Linked DNA regions of Rhinolophus ferrumequinum. The protein of the gene in region 1 purifies or fractionates together with the protein of each later gene. This does not show direct contact. Links are inferred from orthologs where the notes say so. Each region holds a gene or a part of one and is shown on either strand. Other genes may lie near its edges. The genes, in order: RARA and KLF5.

What was found.
Region 2: the proteins of RARA (region 1) and KLF5 purify together in Homo sapiens (affinity purification with western blotting; 4 studies listed by BioGRID). This does not show direct contact. The link is inferred for Rhinolophus ferrumequinum from reciprocal best matches to the Homo sapiens genes RARA and KLF5.

Annotation. Positions count from the first base shown.
Region 1 is NC_046304.1:36,756,322-36,764,047, forward strand, and holds the start of RARA (retinoic acid receptor alpha), read left to right. Parts: upstream 1-4,292; 5' UTR 4,293-4,371; coding exon 4,372-4,576; intron 4,577-7,726. UniProt on the Homo sapiens protein: Receptor for retinoic acid. Retinoic acid receptors bind as heterodimers to their target response elements in response to their ligands, all-trans or 9-cis retinoic acid, and regulate gene expression in various biological processes.
Region 2 is NC_046287.1:24,731,421-24,739,668, forward strand, and holds the start of KLF5 (Krueppel-like factor 5), read left to right. Parts: upstream 1-4,917; 5' UTR 4,918-5,248; coding exon 5,249-5,509; intron 5,510-5,894; exon of another isoform or gene 5,895-5,914; intron 5,915-7,771; coding exon 7,772-8,248. UniProt on the Homo sapiens protein: Transcription factor that binds to GC box promoter elements. Activates the transcription of these genes.

The DNA.
Region 1 (7,726 bases):
TCCTTGCATTTAGGATAAAATCCAAAAGCCTTACTGAGGCCAACAAGCCCACCTGGTCTGGCCTTAGCCCACCTCTACCGCCTGTTCTTGTGCCTCGTTCGTTTCCTCTTGAATTTTGTGCCTAATCCTCTGTCAGTTCCTTGAATGAACTTACCAACTTCTGTAACCCCAGGAGCTTTGCACAGGTTTGCTTCTTACTCTTTACCTAAGTAGGTCTCTGTTTTGAGGTCTTCCCTGACCCTTCAACCTAAAATTAGGTACCTACATTGTCTTTCGAAACACACTATGGATTTGTGTCATAATACAATTATTTCAGTTTGCAACTGTATATATATATGTGTATACACACACACACACACACACACACATACACACACACACACACACACACAATATATATATGAAGTTTGCGATTGTTTGCTTAATGGCTATTGCCCCATAAGGTCTGCAAGGGCAGGCTCACCAGGGTATCCACATAGGAGGTACTCAGAAAATATTTTTTCTTTTTTTTTCTTATTATTTTTTAAATTTATTGGGGTGACAATTGTTAGTAAAATTACATAGATTTCAGGTGTGCAATTCTGTATCACACCATCTATAAATTACATTGTGTGTTCACCACCCAGAGCCAGTTCTCCTTCCATCACCATATATTTGATCCCCCTCACCCTCATCTCCCACCCCCCAACCCCCTTACCCTCTGGTAACCACTAAATTACGTTCCCCAGATTAATTTTCAAACCCCGTGGCCATCCTGTGGTCACCGACTGCCCTCCAATCCCCTCACCCCCCCCTCCCGCCCATCTAGCAACCCTAATATTTTTTCTTGAATTGGCCTGGCATGGTAGGAATTTGGGCTTTGGCGACAGAAAGTTCTCTCTACCCTTTATTAGCAGTGTGATCTTAGACAACCCACTTAGCGTTGTTGCCACCTCAATTAATTTGTAAGACAGGAATATCTTACAAGATAGCTTTTCTTTTGGAGTTGCTAGGGGAATTAAATGACAATATATGTTAAGAACCTGGCTTCTAGAATAATATCCTTGGGAAGCATGTAAATTCCTATCTTTTTTATGGGATACCATCTCCTCCAGGAGCGTCCCCTCCTTCACGGACCGACCCAACCTGGGCCTTTCTTCCAACGGAACAGGCATCCCCGGGGCTTCCAGGAGGAAGTGATCAGCTGGAAGGCACCAGCCCCTCCTTTGATTTTTCTAGGGCTGAGCTGTGGGGGCGGGGGGGGGCAATCCTAGTTCCGCGGCTGGGAGACACCCTGGGCGGGGCTTTGCTCGCCGGAAGCACGCCGAGCAGAGGAGAGCCCCCTCTGCGCGCTTCTGTGCTGAAGCACCCGCGCTGCCGCCTCGGGTTCCGGCGGACTGCAGGCGGCTGGAGTCACACATGATGTCACAGACAATGACACAAGCCGTGTGTCTCAATCCGACACAGCTCCGGAGCTGCACAATGTCACACTCGGCACGCTGCGTCCGCGGCGCTAACACTTGTCCAAACGCACGCCCTTCACCTCCCGCGTCTCGGGGGAAGCTGGCCGGGCTCGGCTGGGGAGGGGGCCGGCGGGCTAGCTCCACGGCCGGGCTGGCGAGCGAGTGATGTCACGGGCAACGGTGGGTGGGTCACCCGGAGGTGAGGCGCCTCCAGGCGAGTTCAGGGAGAGTTCAGCCGCATTGCATTAGGCAAATGAGGCCCGGGCTGGGTGGGGGTGTGTGTTAGGGGAGGACACCGGGACCACCCCCCTCCTCGCACCGTCACCTCCCCCGCCGTGGCTTCGCTGGGTCGGGGACTGACCAAAGCACGGGGGAGGCTGGGAGCCGGAACTGGGTTGGGGGAGACGCCCGCCCCGTTTCCGTCCTCACCTCTGAGCGCAGCCCCCTCCTCTCCCCGTACCGGCCTCGGTCTGTACTAGGCGTACTCCTCCTCTCGTGCCTTTTCCCTTCTGTCCCCTCTTCTCTCCTCCCCCTCCCCAGCCTCTCCCTACTCGCTCATCAAATGCCGCCTCTCAGCCTCAGTCCTGGTGTTTCGCCCGCTGCAGCCAGGCCAACCGGGAAAGGGTTAAGCCAGGGGCGGTGCCTGGACGCGACTGGGCGGAGAAAAGGGGGTGGGACCGCAGGGGAGCGGGGCGCGGACTGGGGGTGGGGTGCAGCGGCGCGCACCACCGGAGCCCCAGCGGCTGGCCTGGTGGAGGCGGGGCCGCGCGGGGTCCCCACCCCCACCCGGAGTCCTCGCCCGGGAGAAGCCCAGGAGCCCCGGCGTGGAGGAGGAAGTGCTCGGTGACCGCCCCCCCGGTCCCCCCCCCCGCCTGCCCCGCGTCCATGCTGATCCCGCCCCCGGCCGGCGCACTTGGGGAGCCGCGGGACTCTGCCTTGGACACCATGAGACTCGACACGGGATCCCCCTCGAGGTGAAGCCGCCGAGTTCCCAGGTCTCGGCCGGGCGTTCCCGCGGGGAGCCGAGGGACCCTCCTCCCAGCGCACACAACTTCCCTGCTTCCACCTGGGACTGGTAGAGCGGCGGGCTGACTTAGACACGGAACTTTGGGCAGAGGGCGGCCCCCTGCCCAGGTTGCCAGTCGGGGCGAGGGGACGTGCCCCTCGCCCCCAGCTGCACTCTCTGGATGGCGCCATCGGCTGAGTGAGGGAGGCGGTGCGCAGGACTTCCCCGCCCGGACCTCTTGTCTTCGCGGGGAAGATGTACGAGAGTGTGGAAGTGGGGGGGCTCACCCCCACCCCCAACCCGTTCCTGGTGGTGGATTTTTATAACCAGAACCGGGCCTGTTTGCTCCCGGAGAAGGGGCTCCCAGCCCCGGGTCCCTATTCTACCCCGCTCCGGACTCCCCTTTGGAATGGCTCAAATCACTGTAGGTACCCGCCGCTCCTCTCCTATTGTAGGGATTGGGGGTGGGCGGTGGGGCTTCCGGGGATGCGGGCCTGGGGGGGCGGGTCTTGTCTCTACCCTTCACTTTCTCTTGTTTCTCTTGCTGAAACCTGGGTGTCCTTGCTGGGCAATTGGACTCCCCGAGTAATTCTGGGCGCTATTTGTTATATTAGGGCTGAGGAACTTTGGGGGTTCCTCCCTCCAGGAAACATTTGTTCATGTCTTCTTCCACTGGAGGAGAAATGAAGCCCCTTGCCCCACTTTGTATCTTCTTGCTTGGAATCCAATAGCTTCACAGCAGAATGGTCCTTTCTCCCACCCTGGAGGGTGGGGGAAAGGTCCTATTTGTGGGCTTGTCTGCCCCTAGGAGGAGGGGCCTCCTCCCCAGATCCCAGCCCTTGCGTCATTTGAGTGGGTGTCAGGGGAGCAATGGACGTCTTGGGTGTTGGCAGTGGGGTGTGGCAGGAAGGGGCAACTTCATCAGACACCTCAGCATCCCTTCCATCTTGGGAAGGGGCACCTGTCCATCTGACTGTGGTCCTGGCCCCAGACACTTGGCTGGCATCTTTGAGGCACCAGTCCTGGGAATGGAGGGGAGAGCTGCTTTGGTGCGAAGAATCCTCCTCCCCCTGCTCCTAACCTGGTTTGTTTGCTGGGGGATGAGTGTGTTTTTTGTGGGTCTGGAGTTACTGTGGAAATGGATACATTCCCTTCCCACACAGCGGTGCCCTTTTGTTACCCTGTGTGCACTTGGGATAGGGGCAGGTACTGGGCTGCCCCTTCCCTAAGAGGGGCGCTGATGAGAACCCTGGAGTCTTGGCATCCTGCTCACCTCCTCTCCTCATTGCCCTGTCTGGATTCAGGCTCCTCTGGCAGGGAGGGGCTCTGTCCACTGTGGGAGCTGTAAGTGCTTGGGGTATACTTATGGGTGTGTTTATACCCAGCTGTGCCTGTCCTGTATCTGGGTGGGAAAGAGCTGGCCCTCTGCTGGGGGTGTTTTTGTTACACTGCTGGGGTTTCTTCCAACCCCCCTCAGGGCTCAACTTTTCCCAGGAGCTTCTCCCACCCTCCCAGACCTGCTGCCTCCCTCCTGCCTGCTAGGGAGGAGGGATGGAGTGGGTCTCTGGGGGCCTGGCAGATTGGAGAGGATTGAAGGGCAACCTGCAGCCCCTTTGCTCAGGGAGGAGAGACAGACACCTACCTCTGCCCCTCCCAGAGCCACCTTAACTCCAGCCTTTGCTTTTGTCCTGCCCCCTGACCTTTGCCTCCGGGGCTGATGGCTGAGAGGCTGCAGACTGGAAGGGACGGTGTGAGCGTGCGTTGACTTTGGCAAAAAGGGAGAGGTGTGAGGTATGACCCTTCCATCCTCCCAGAGCTGGAGGAAACGTGTGCCCCCCAAGTGGATAATTGGGGCAAGGCTGCTAGGGTCACTCTCTTCACCACCTGGACTGCCTTTTCTAGAGGACTAGGGGTGAAGCAGGGATGGGAGACCTTGAGCTCCAGCCCTGTCTCTTCCTTTGCCCTTGGGGACAGCTCAGCTCTTCAACTGAAAGGGAAGGAAAAGGAGTGTGGAGTCTGGCAGGTGGAGGATTTGGTGAGGCAGGTGACGGAAGTGGAAGTCTGTCCCCCACACCCTTTCTGGGGTGGGGCAGAGCTCCAGGCCTGGACCCCTCGTCCAGCATTCCATGTAAGTGTGTGTATATGTCCGTGGGGTATCAGTGGGCTCAGCCCCCCAGGCTGTGGGAGAGGTGTTTGGAGGCCCTGGAAGGACTTGGAGACTGGAGGTGGCGACTAGACCCTGTCTAGAGTTCACGAGGTCACTACCACTGCCTTAGAAGAGCCACTTGGTATTTGTGGAGGTCCTCTGGTGACAGGGGTCCTCTGGCCCCCTAGCAGGAGTTCTCTGCTCCAGTCTGCCTCCTCCACTAAAGGTGGGAAGAGACTGTAGGACAGCTGTAGGAGGAGACCTCCTCCTGCAGGGCCCCGGGGACATTGCCTCCTTCCCCAGAGCCCCCATTTGGGGGCACTAGAGGACAAGGGGTACACAGGATGTGGTTCCCGGACTGTCCCCCACCAATCTCCGCTGCTCACGCCTCCGCCCGCTCCCAGACGTCCAAGAATGTGAAGCACGTGGCCCCCGTAGTGGGGGAAGGGGGATAGATGCTTATCGGCAGCTGCTGGGCCAGGGGCCTTCTTCCGCCCTGCAGCACCCGAGCCACCCCCACCCTCCCTCGGGAGGAGGAAGGGCGGTACCAAGGGCCCTGCGCCCCCTTCCCAGCCCTCCCCAGGGGCTGCAAGGGGAGCTGCGGAGGAGCGGGCGCCAGCTGGATTGGGAGGGGAGCCGCTGGCCAGGGGCCCGGCTGATTTCCTGCCGATCTCCTCCAGGAAACCGGCCCCTTGTGCGAGCCTGCGAACGGCTCTGGGGCGTGGGGAATCCGGAGCGCTCTGCGCCTCCTGCGCGCCCGGAGGGGACGGGGCGGGGGGGGGGGGGGGGGGGGGGGGGAAGGGCACCCTGGCAGTGCGGACCGTTGGGAGGGGACCCTGGCTTTCTGGGCCGCTGCCAGCCCGGCGCTGAGCTCTGGAACTTTGAGCTGAGAAGGTGTGGTGCTTCTCCAGCTTAGTCCTTCTGCAGGAAGAGGAGAGATTTGTGGGCTGGGGCCTCTGGGGGAAGCGGTGAGCGGGGAGGGGCCAGGGCATGGCAGTCCTTCCCCCGAGGATTGTGTGGGCAGAGTTAAAGCTGTGTCCTTAACTCTTACAGAGGCCTTGAGGGTCCCAGAGTGCCCCTCACCTTCCCAGGCTGCTGGCTGGCGGCCTGAGGAGGTGGGGACTTGGGCCAGGGCTCTGAGTTCAAAGGACACGCAGGGAAACAAACCTCAGCTCTGTTACCTGGGTGACAGGTGGCGGTGTGCTGGAGGTGGGGTATAAACTGTGATATAGCTTCAAAGGCACCCAGCTGCTGTCCGTAGGTGGCCAGGAGGATTCACTCGGCCCAACTGTAGCCCCTACCTGAGCTCATTCCCCCACCCTACGAAAAACATTTTTCAAAGCACATTCTTTCAGTTCCATAAACACCCTCTGGACTTTGCCTGAGCTCCCAATTTCTACCGGTCTTTGCCCTACTAGTCTTGTCTCTGGCTTTAGCGCTGTCTGTCCATCATCCTGGAATCCTGTGGGTCTTCCCATGCCCTCCACCCCACTCTGTACCCCAAAGCTCCCCCTCTCCTTTCTCCACCTCCAGTCTGGTCCATTTTAGAGGTGGGCCTTGGGGAGGCCGGGCCAGGGCAAAGGGCTGATGGGGGTGGGGGGGACATCAGTACCTCCATCCTCTGCTTGTTGGAATGCTGACTGGGATTCTAGGCCATGGCCCCCCCCCCCCACCTCTATGTCCTTGACACCCCCCCACCAGTCTGGATTGTCTATTGTTACTCCTGTAACGTCTTGGAAAAAGTTAGCACAACAAAGGGCTTCTTTGTGGCTCACCCCTCTGCCTCCTGGCCTCACCCAGGCCCCCCAACCCTGCCCCCCCAGCAGCTGTTCTCAGGCCTCTGCCTGTCTGATTTGCTTGTCTCCCGCCCCCCCCAGAGTGAGGTGGGGGGAAACCAGGCCAGGGATGTTCCGTGTTGGGGTAAGGAGCAGAGGGCTGGGGGGGTGGGGTCAGTGAAGGGTCTGTGGACTGGGGGTGGGGTGGGTGGACATCCACTGTTCCTTTGCAGTGGGCCAGGCTCTGGACAGGCAAGGGGATGTGGGGCCATCGCAGTGCTGGTCAGCCAGGCTGACCAGGCAAGTGGTGCCCGGGCACTACTGAGAGCCAGGAAAGCCCTGCCAAGGTTGGCGGCCTAGTTCTCTGTCAGCACCCGCCTGGCGTTCCCTGGCGTGTCTGCAGGTAAGCGGGGAGGGTGGCAGCGTGCAGCCAGCCCTGTGTCCAGGTGCTGCTTTTCTCTGTGCCTGGACTTTGGGGCCATGAGACTCATGGCCATCAGGTGCTTGGGCCAGCGAACCTTGTGTGTTGGAGTTTGGGGTGACAATAGGTAGGATTCTGGGGTGTGGGAAGCGGTAGGGATCTACCTACCTGGGAGGCATCCTGGACCCTCCTTGGCTTTGGACAAGTGGACTTAGCAAGGGCCTCAGGAAGGTGTTGGGTGGCTCCTTGGGAATGTGGGATTGCCTTGGTCACAGGTCTCCATCTAGAACAGTTCACCTCCAGCAGCCCAGGCTTTGGGCATAGACGCCTCCACCCAGCCCAGCCCTGCTCTGCCTGGGGCGATGGGCTTGGGGCCAGGCACTGGGGAGGCTTTGGCGAGTGGGGGCTGCCCTGCTGGCTGGGTCATCCCTCCTCGCTGCCCTCTGGGAGCTGAATAACAGGAGGGGAGGGGGATAGTAACCCGGACATAGTATTGAGGCCAGACAGACCGACCATTGATGGGAACAGACCCCCTTTGTCATGCTGCTCCCCCCAAACTGGGTACCCAGAGCAAGGGGCTTCCGGGGCCCATAGGGACTCTTCTCCCTGTCTGGGGGGGGGGTCCCCCTGCTTATCAGGGAGTCCCCGCCTGCTTTGCTCAACATTTGTAACTCTTCTTTGCACACCCTGCCTTGAGTCCCAGGCCAGGGGATTGTTTGGGTGTAGGAGGGGCTGTGGCTGCAGGCAGAGAGGGAAGGGGGGAGCGGAAGCTGAGGGGGTGGGGGAGTGGCCGGCTTTGAATATCCTGTTGACCCCAGTTTCCTCTACCCCCAGCTTGTGTCCTCTTCTTCCCTCCCTCCTCAGAGACCTTAACTCCTTCCTAACTCTGGGGGTAGGAGGGGGGGTGGGGCCTGGCTGCCCAGGGCTCGGGCTTTA
Region 2 (8,248 bases), on another chromosome or scaffold:
CAAATATAGGTTATATGTAAATACTACACCATTGTATATAAGGGACTTTAGCATCCTCGGATTTTGGTATCCACAGGGGTACTGGAACCAATGCCCCTCTGATACTGAAGGACGACTGTATTCTGATTGCAAAGGGCACTTGTGGAAAATTGAGAAAATATTGAAAAGTATAAAGCAATGAAAAATTACCCATCATTTGACCATCCAATGATAGCCACCAAAATACATATTTTGTATTTTCTCTCGTCTTTATTTGTGTTTATAAAAACCTCAACCTTCTCTTTCTTAACATACTATGAGTATTTTCCTGTGTGACTAAATATTCTTACTAGTATGATTTTTGGTGATGGAACAGTAGCCACCAAATGTATTATTTAATTGATTTTCTATTGCTGGACACCAGGGTTATTTCCAATATCTATCTATCTATCTATCTATCTATCTATCTATCTATCTATCTATCTATCTATCTATCATCTCCTAGAGGGGCAATTATCTACTGCTTTAAAGGTTATTTACATGTTCAGCCTTCTTGATACTTAATGTCAATTGTCCTCAAATAGTATACATTTTACACAACCATAACCAGTGTATGGGAAGTTAAGGTACAAAACGCCGGCATTGGTCTTAGCACTATTTGTACACGTTTCATTTATAAATCAGTCTCCAAAAGGACATTCCTTTGTGACCCACGCGCAGTTCACCTAGTACCATTAGTGCTGGTGTCATCAGGGGAACAGCAATTGGCTCAAAACACCGCTCATTGTGATGCCAGTGACGTGGCCTCCTTAACGTTCTAAAAGATTGTTTGGTGTAAATGCTTCAGTTCAGGAGTTTTCTCTTCACCTTTCCTATCATGTTTAGAGTCAGAATTCAAATACTGTACAATATGCCTGGCCTATAACTTGGTTTGAGGTATTTATATTTATGTCACTTTTGTTTGCTTATTATACTAACCAGGTGGAAAAAAGCAATTGCAGTCTCCCCAAAAGGTAAAATTCTACTTTTTTGGTATATTACTAGAATTTTTAAAATAGGTTAGATAAATTACAGTACATGTAGGAATAAGTGCACATTGGGAGTTTTATGAGATATTTCATGAAAACATTTAAATACAAACTTAAATGTAAAATTTAATTTCTTAAGAACTGAGGTGGGAGATATTAAAAAAATAGAATAATAAGTTTTTTAAAGACATTTTAATATATATAAAAAGTATATAATCCTATTTAAATTACATATTGTCTCATCAAAAAAGGAATGAACAGAGCATTTTTTCTCATGTCTGAATCTTGAGTCAAAATGATTTGACTTTTGACTAAACTCATTGAAGCTTTTATTTATTATGTTCTTTTCTCAATGACTTTGTTTTTGGACATGTGTCTTAAAGCAGTTGCTATTATTGAAAAAAATTAAAGGATTGAAAACATGAAATGTTTTAAAGGACAATAATTATATTTTATGCTTTTATTGATACAGATTCTAACAGTAGGTGGAAAAGCACTAAATATCAAAAGAGTGAATAATGTCACCCTAGAAAAGAGTGTACTTCCTTATAAACATTTTTTTACTCATTCTTGTGCTTTTCCTGTGGCCCAATATCACTCAGTAATTTGATTTTAAAGAAATGGAATATTCCATGAATATTTTCCAATCAAAGTGAATACAATGTTGTTATCTAAAACACCTTTGATTCCTTAATTTTAATCTCTCCCTGTCCATTTTGGCCAAACAACTGAATACAGATATTTCTTTTGCTGTGTCTTCCTGTGAACATTACCCTAGTAAGAGCTCCATATTTCTCTCATCTCATCATTCAGAAGCTATTTATCCACTTTTTTCCACTGCCTCCTCCTTCAAGCCTCCCCTTCCCCCATCCTTGAATGCCTATTCAGCCCCCACACATTCAGGCGTATTTATTCCGGTAAAGATAGTGACACTTATGGTTTATTCTAAGACTAAATCTGTGTTGCCCAATGACTAAGGACTTAAGCATGCACACTGCTTCTGCACTTACCCTCCTACCTAACTTGACTACTCAACTTTTTTCTTTCTTTCTCTCAGAATTCTGTTTTGGCACAGTTCAGTTAACACACCACTGCCAGGCCACTAATTGATTTCTGAAACCTGACATTTGTTTTTTGTTTTCCCCTATCTTCCCTAATGGTACAGCACTACTAAGCAGGAAGGAATGCAAAGAACTAGAAAGTTCAAAGTAATTGAGGATCTGTCCATTCACACTGTCTGGCATTATGCCAGTGTAGAACCTGGAACATTTGAAAAATATTTATCAAGTTTTAACCCTTTTTGCTAAGTCGATGAAGTGGGTTTGCAGCTGTAGCAGTTGTGTGAACAGCAACAGCAAGTAAGCTTGGTCGAACATGTTCTTTATATGTTCAGAATCGCATGGCAAATGTCTCAAAAAAGGATTACTTTCCAATCTCCGTACGATTGTACAATGCTAAGCTAGTTATTTTCTGTGAGATTGCAGAGCTGGGGATTTCAGAGAAACCATTACTTAAAAGTGACAGTCCTATTTCATCAATCCTTATGTCAGAAATGAAATTTAAATAAATGCCACTGTATTTGAACGAAAAAGATTGTATTTAGCATTTCTATTGTAAGTGTGCTGCAAGCCCATCCATAGCTAGGTTCATATCTATATTCATTAAGAAAAGTGGAAATGTGAAAAAAATTAACAGGACTATCAAAATATCTTATTAAAATTTATCAGATAGCTGGTTCTTTTGTTTTTGTGTGGACTGGGAAAGTTTTGTAAATGAAAGCATGTTTTAAAATGGTGTGAAATATGGTGTGAAAGCTTTGTAAATGAAAGCATGTTTTAAAATGGTGTGAAATATGGTGTGAAAGCTTTGTAAATGAAAGCATGTTTTAAAATGGTGTGAAATAAAGAAATATAGAAATATTTCCAGTAAAGTAACTGGATATTACTGCAGTGAAAATTTAGGTTGAAATAACAGGCCACCGATACTCTGGTAAAAAGAAAGACAAAAGGTAAAGTCTAGATAGCCTTAAAAGCAAATTAAAATATAAATAGATACCAAAGTGTATTAATTCTAAGTTAGATTTAAAGTTAGAAACAATACAAAAGTTCTGTTGAGAGTTATCTATATCACACTTGGTTTGATCATATTATCAGCATGAATTAACTAAAATCAAAGTTCAATTTTTAAAAAGTTATATGAAATCCCATACCAATTCTATAGTCTAAGTTATTTAATTACATAATTAGATTCAATATTAGAGAAAGTCAGGATAGCTTTTTACAGATGAAGATGGATAGTATGGGACTGTTTGCTTAGAAAAAACTTTGCAAAAACACTTATGAAATAATACTTTGGTAACATGAAAGTAAGTCTTCAACCATTCAAAAAAAGCAGTGATCACAGCAATAAAAAAATGAATAATTTATTAACAAAAGGGAATGAAAAGGAGACAAATTTTTCACAGCATAATTTTGTTTCCTAATAACAAATAAATACCTCTAATACTTAATGTATTTATTTTAAAATTCTACACACTGAAATGAGATCCGTAACTTTGATAGATTTACTCTTTGAAGTGAACGTTTTTCTAGAACTTGTTTTTTTAACGTTTTACTGTGATTAGTAGGCTGCTATATATGTAAAATTGTCTAATGGTACGGTGTGCTGTCAACATGTATACATCTGTAGTAGTATTCAGGCATTTATATTGCAGTTTATTGTTCTGGCTTCCAAATAACCCAGATAAAATCATGTAGAAGAACATTAAGGATTAAGGGACGTGGTTTCCTTGCGTGACTGATGGCAAAAATTCACCTTGCTATTATAACATAGTAAGTAAGTGGACAGTAATATATTTGGCTATTACTTTCCAACAAATTTGGATTCCCAGTTTTCAGAACTGCTGTGTGTCTAATGTTTGTGGCTTCTTTTATTGTCTTTTCGTAGGAAAAGGTGCCACGGTGTTGGGTAAATGTGCTACGTTTCTGTTTTGTAAATATTAAACTCCACTTTTGAACATACAGTGCTAGCAAAAATAAGTCAAAGATGTAATGTCTATTTAAATACATTTGATGTAGTCGTTAGTGCTTAAATTAGATTCCATGCTTCGGCTCGAATCAACACTATAAATACTAAGAACTTCAAAATTGATATGGCCCACCTCCCTCCTCTCCACACACGGATACGAGGTAGAAATGTGTGTGAAAACGTCTAATATTTAAATAGTGTGGGGAAAAACAAGCTTTTATGAAAGGACTTTAAAAAAATACTTCCCATCAAACCTTTTATTCAAGCATTCCGAATATGCTTTGCTAAATGGATATATTCACTGCTCAAGATACACTGAGACAAGATCTGTTTTTAAACTTGTTTATCACACCGCCCCTAGTTTTCCGCTAAAGAAAAGTACATTTTGTTTATTTAAAAATACACACTCATTAAATAAGTTTTTCAAAACCTTAGCGTCCCAATCTAGCTGCCTTCTGGGTTTCAGCTTTTGAGTTTCAGGTCCTTGCACAACACCTCAGACATGCAAAACTCTTCTTTCTCTCTAATTCTAGCAGAGAACAGTCAGTGGAGATCTCCCTCCACGTCTCCACCCTAATTCCCTCTCTTCCTAGATTCCACCGGCTTCTCTCCTTCCCTCCGCCCCCGGCTCCGCCAGCTCAATCTGTCAGAGAACTTGTGTACAAACTGCGCGGCAGCCCTGCGCGCGAAGCTCGTGGCCCGAAAGGGGTGCGGTCAGCGCGGAGGAGGCGGAGCCCTGGGCGAATTTCTTCCTTCTCATAGGCTACACGCTCTGGCCCCGCTGGTCCCGGGGCCTCAGGATTCGCCGCAGCGCTGCCAGTCTGGCACGGGAGCCCCGCCCACTCAGAGTTGGGTAAAATAGACGCGGGCGTCAAGTGTCAGTAGTCGCGGGCCAGGTACGCGCGTTCGCAGCTCGTTCGCGGAGAGCAGCGGTGGCGAGAGCCGGCTGCGGCGTGTGAGGGAGCGCGGTGGGGCGGGGCGGGAGAAAGTGGCCGCCCGGAGGACGTTGGCGTTTACGCGTGGCGGAGCGGAAGAGTTTTGCTTTTCGTGCGCGCCTTCGAAAACCGCGCCTACTGTCGGCTGAGGGGTCCGCCAGGAGCTTCCCCTCCTCCGCCCGCGGTCCCGCGCGGAGTTCTCCGGCCTGAGCCAGCGTGGGCGAGGTGGGAAGCGCGCTCGACACGCGCCCCGCGCCCGGAGCCGCCCCCCGAGTGCCCATGGCTACGCGGGTGCTGACCATGAACGCCCGCCTGGGACCCGTGCCTCAGCCGCCGGCCCCGCAGGACGAGCCCGTGTTCGCGCAGCTCAAGCCGGTGCTGGGTGCCGCGAACCCAGCCCGCGACGCCGCGCTCTTCTCTGGCGAGGAGCTCAAACACCCGCACCACCACCCGCAGGCGCAGCCGGCGCCCCCACACCCCCCGCAGACGGCGCCACCGCCGGCCGCGGGTCCGCGCCTGCCCCCGGAGGAGCTGGTCCAGGTAGGAAGAGCCGCTCCCCTCCCTCCCGGCGCTCGGGCGTGTCCCGCCGCTGCGACGCGCGGGCGACAGGGGCCGCTCCAGGCTGGCCGTGCGTCGGGGCGCACGGGGAGCCGGAGCGGGGTGGGCAGCCCCGCCCTGCCCTCCCAGCCTGGACACTCGCGTTTCGCAGGGAGCAAGTCGGGCGACCTGAAGAGAGGGGTGTCGGAGATGAATCTGCCCTGGCGGGTCGGTCCGTGAAAGGTTAAAGAGGGAACTGGGTGCTCACGCGCACCTTTGTTTTTTTCTTTCATCTGGAGGATCAAACCTCGGACCTCACGCCAGCTTGACTTCAATTCTGCCTTTCGCCTTAAACCCCCTGCCCCCAGTGGCATGGCCTTGGCGCTCCCCCGTCCCGCGCCGTCTCGGGTTAAGTGGAAACGCAAATCGGGGTGCTGGGGAGGGGCCTCGCGGGGTGTTTTCTTATCTCTTGGCTCAACCTGTTTTAGACGCGATCGTGGGGCCGCCTTTGGGAAGCCGGAGTTAGAAAAGCAAAGGTGGTATTGGAGCGCTTGTTTTTCCTTAAAAAGAAAGCTGGGGTGTTGTTTTTTTCATGTGCGCGTAAATTTCCTCCCGGAGCCGCGTTGAAAGCTGGCAGTTGGCTTTTACACTTGCCGGGCAGCCGAATTAGAGCGGCCGCCTGTTTCTTTCGCCCACGCAGGGAGTCATATAGCCCAGAAAAAACTTCCCGGGACTTTTAGCCTGTCCCAAGGAAAAAAAAATTGGAAACATACCCACACGCAAACAGCTGGAAGAGCTAAAATCAGAAACCACTAACCACCACGAGAGCGGAGTGCACGAAAGGGTTTAGTTCGGTTTATTTCAAGACGCTTCATTTAATAGCTCCTTGGTAGATTGTACATTTGCTACTCGGCTCCTACTCCGGGGGGTCTGCGAGTGTCGCCACGCTGTGAAAGGACAGTGACGTTTGTCAGAGAAGCGACTCACATGATTAGAGCGTTAATTTTTATTTTTAAATCGTGTCTGTCCGGGAAACCCCGTGTACATGTACACCGAATGATACGAGGTCGATATGAAACCCTTTTGAAATTAAATAGTAGCAAAAGAAATGACTTACTCACCGAGTAAGATGCCACGGTAACAGCACCATGAGCCATCTAGTTGGGGTGTGTTTTTTTAAAATTTCCTTTTCAGTGTTAAAAATTAAGTTTTATGTTATACTGGGAGAGAAGATAACTGTAAAAAGACAGATTAGTTACAAGCTGGATTATGTCCAAAAAATCATTTAAACATGATTTTGTTACTGCAGTTTGTCAGTTTTCTGCTTAGGGGACACCAAGAGTGTAAGGTATGACTGAGCTTTTTACAGATGAAGGGGGAATGTAGCATTGGGCCACTGAGGAGGACGTGATAAATGTTTTGCTGATGACTGTGCTAGCAATACAGCAGCCTCTCCCCACCCACGGGCCCCTTAGCACCACTCTACCAAGGGAGTGATTTTCCCCTAGGTAATTAAAGATCTGTTTTAGATAGGGATATGAATAGGAACATTTCATTATCATATTAACCAATTACAGAATCTGCTGATTAAAATCAACATTTAGAACAGTTCAATGTGAACGTGTTTTGTTCTTTCAGTGGATACTATGTTTTGCTGAAAACGTTGTATTTAGGTTTCCATTGAGCTATAAACCAGAAAAGGCACTGAAATAGCCAAGGAATGTTTTATATTAGATATTTCAGCAATATTTATCTAAGCAAAACAAAACCAACCCTTTGTAGTAATATTTTTAAGGTTTGCTTAGTTAAAAAACACATTAGTTACTTATATTACATGAGCGGAATAGAGGTTGTTTGGCAATATTACAAGACTACTTCAGTTGCAAACTTAACTGTGTAATGGGGCAGGGAATCCTGTTTGTACCTGAGTGGTAATGAAGTATATTTTATTATTGCATCAGAAAGGAATATGTTTTCTGTTTGCTTCTTTTTTTTTTTTTTGCCTCATTCACTTTTTGTCTGGAGTTGATTGTGGGAACGATTTTACCAAATACATGTTATGCAGAGTTTCGTAAGGTTTTGGCGAACCAGTTATTACACAATTGACAAATAAACCTGATAATGTATATGAGCAGCACTAGAAGGAGTATGCCCAAGTACTTTCAGCAGGAATTGTTGGGGAATTTTTAGTAAGCACCGTTTATTTGTCCTTGGTGAGATGATGAATTGGGTGGATTATGCATGTTTGTATCTCTTCTTTTTTAGACAAGATGTGAAATGGAGAAGTATCTGACACCTCAGCTTCCTCCAGTTTCTATAATTCCAGAGCATAAAAAGTATAGACGAGACAGTGCCTCAGTCGTAGACCAGTTCTTCACTGACAGTGAAGGGTTACCTTACAGTATCAACATGAACGTCTTCCTCCCTGACATCACTCACCTGAGAACTGGCCTCTACAAGTCCCAGAGACCCTGCGTAACACACATCAAGACAGAACCTGTTACCATTTTCAGCCACCAGAGTGAAACGACTGCCCCTCCTCCGGCCCCGACCCAGGCCCTCCCTGAGTTCACCAGTATATTCAGCTCACACCAGACCGCAGCTCCAGAGGTGAACAATATTTTCATCAAACAAGAACTTCCTACACCAGATCTTCATCTTTCTGTCCCCCAGCAGGGCCACCTGTACCAGCTACTGAATACACCGGATTTAGATATGCCCAGTTCTACAAACCAGACAGCA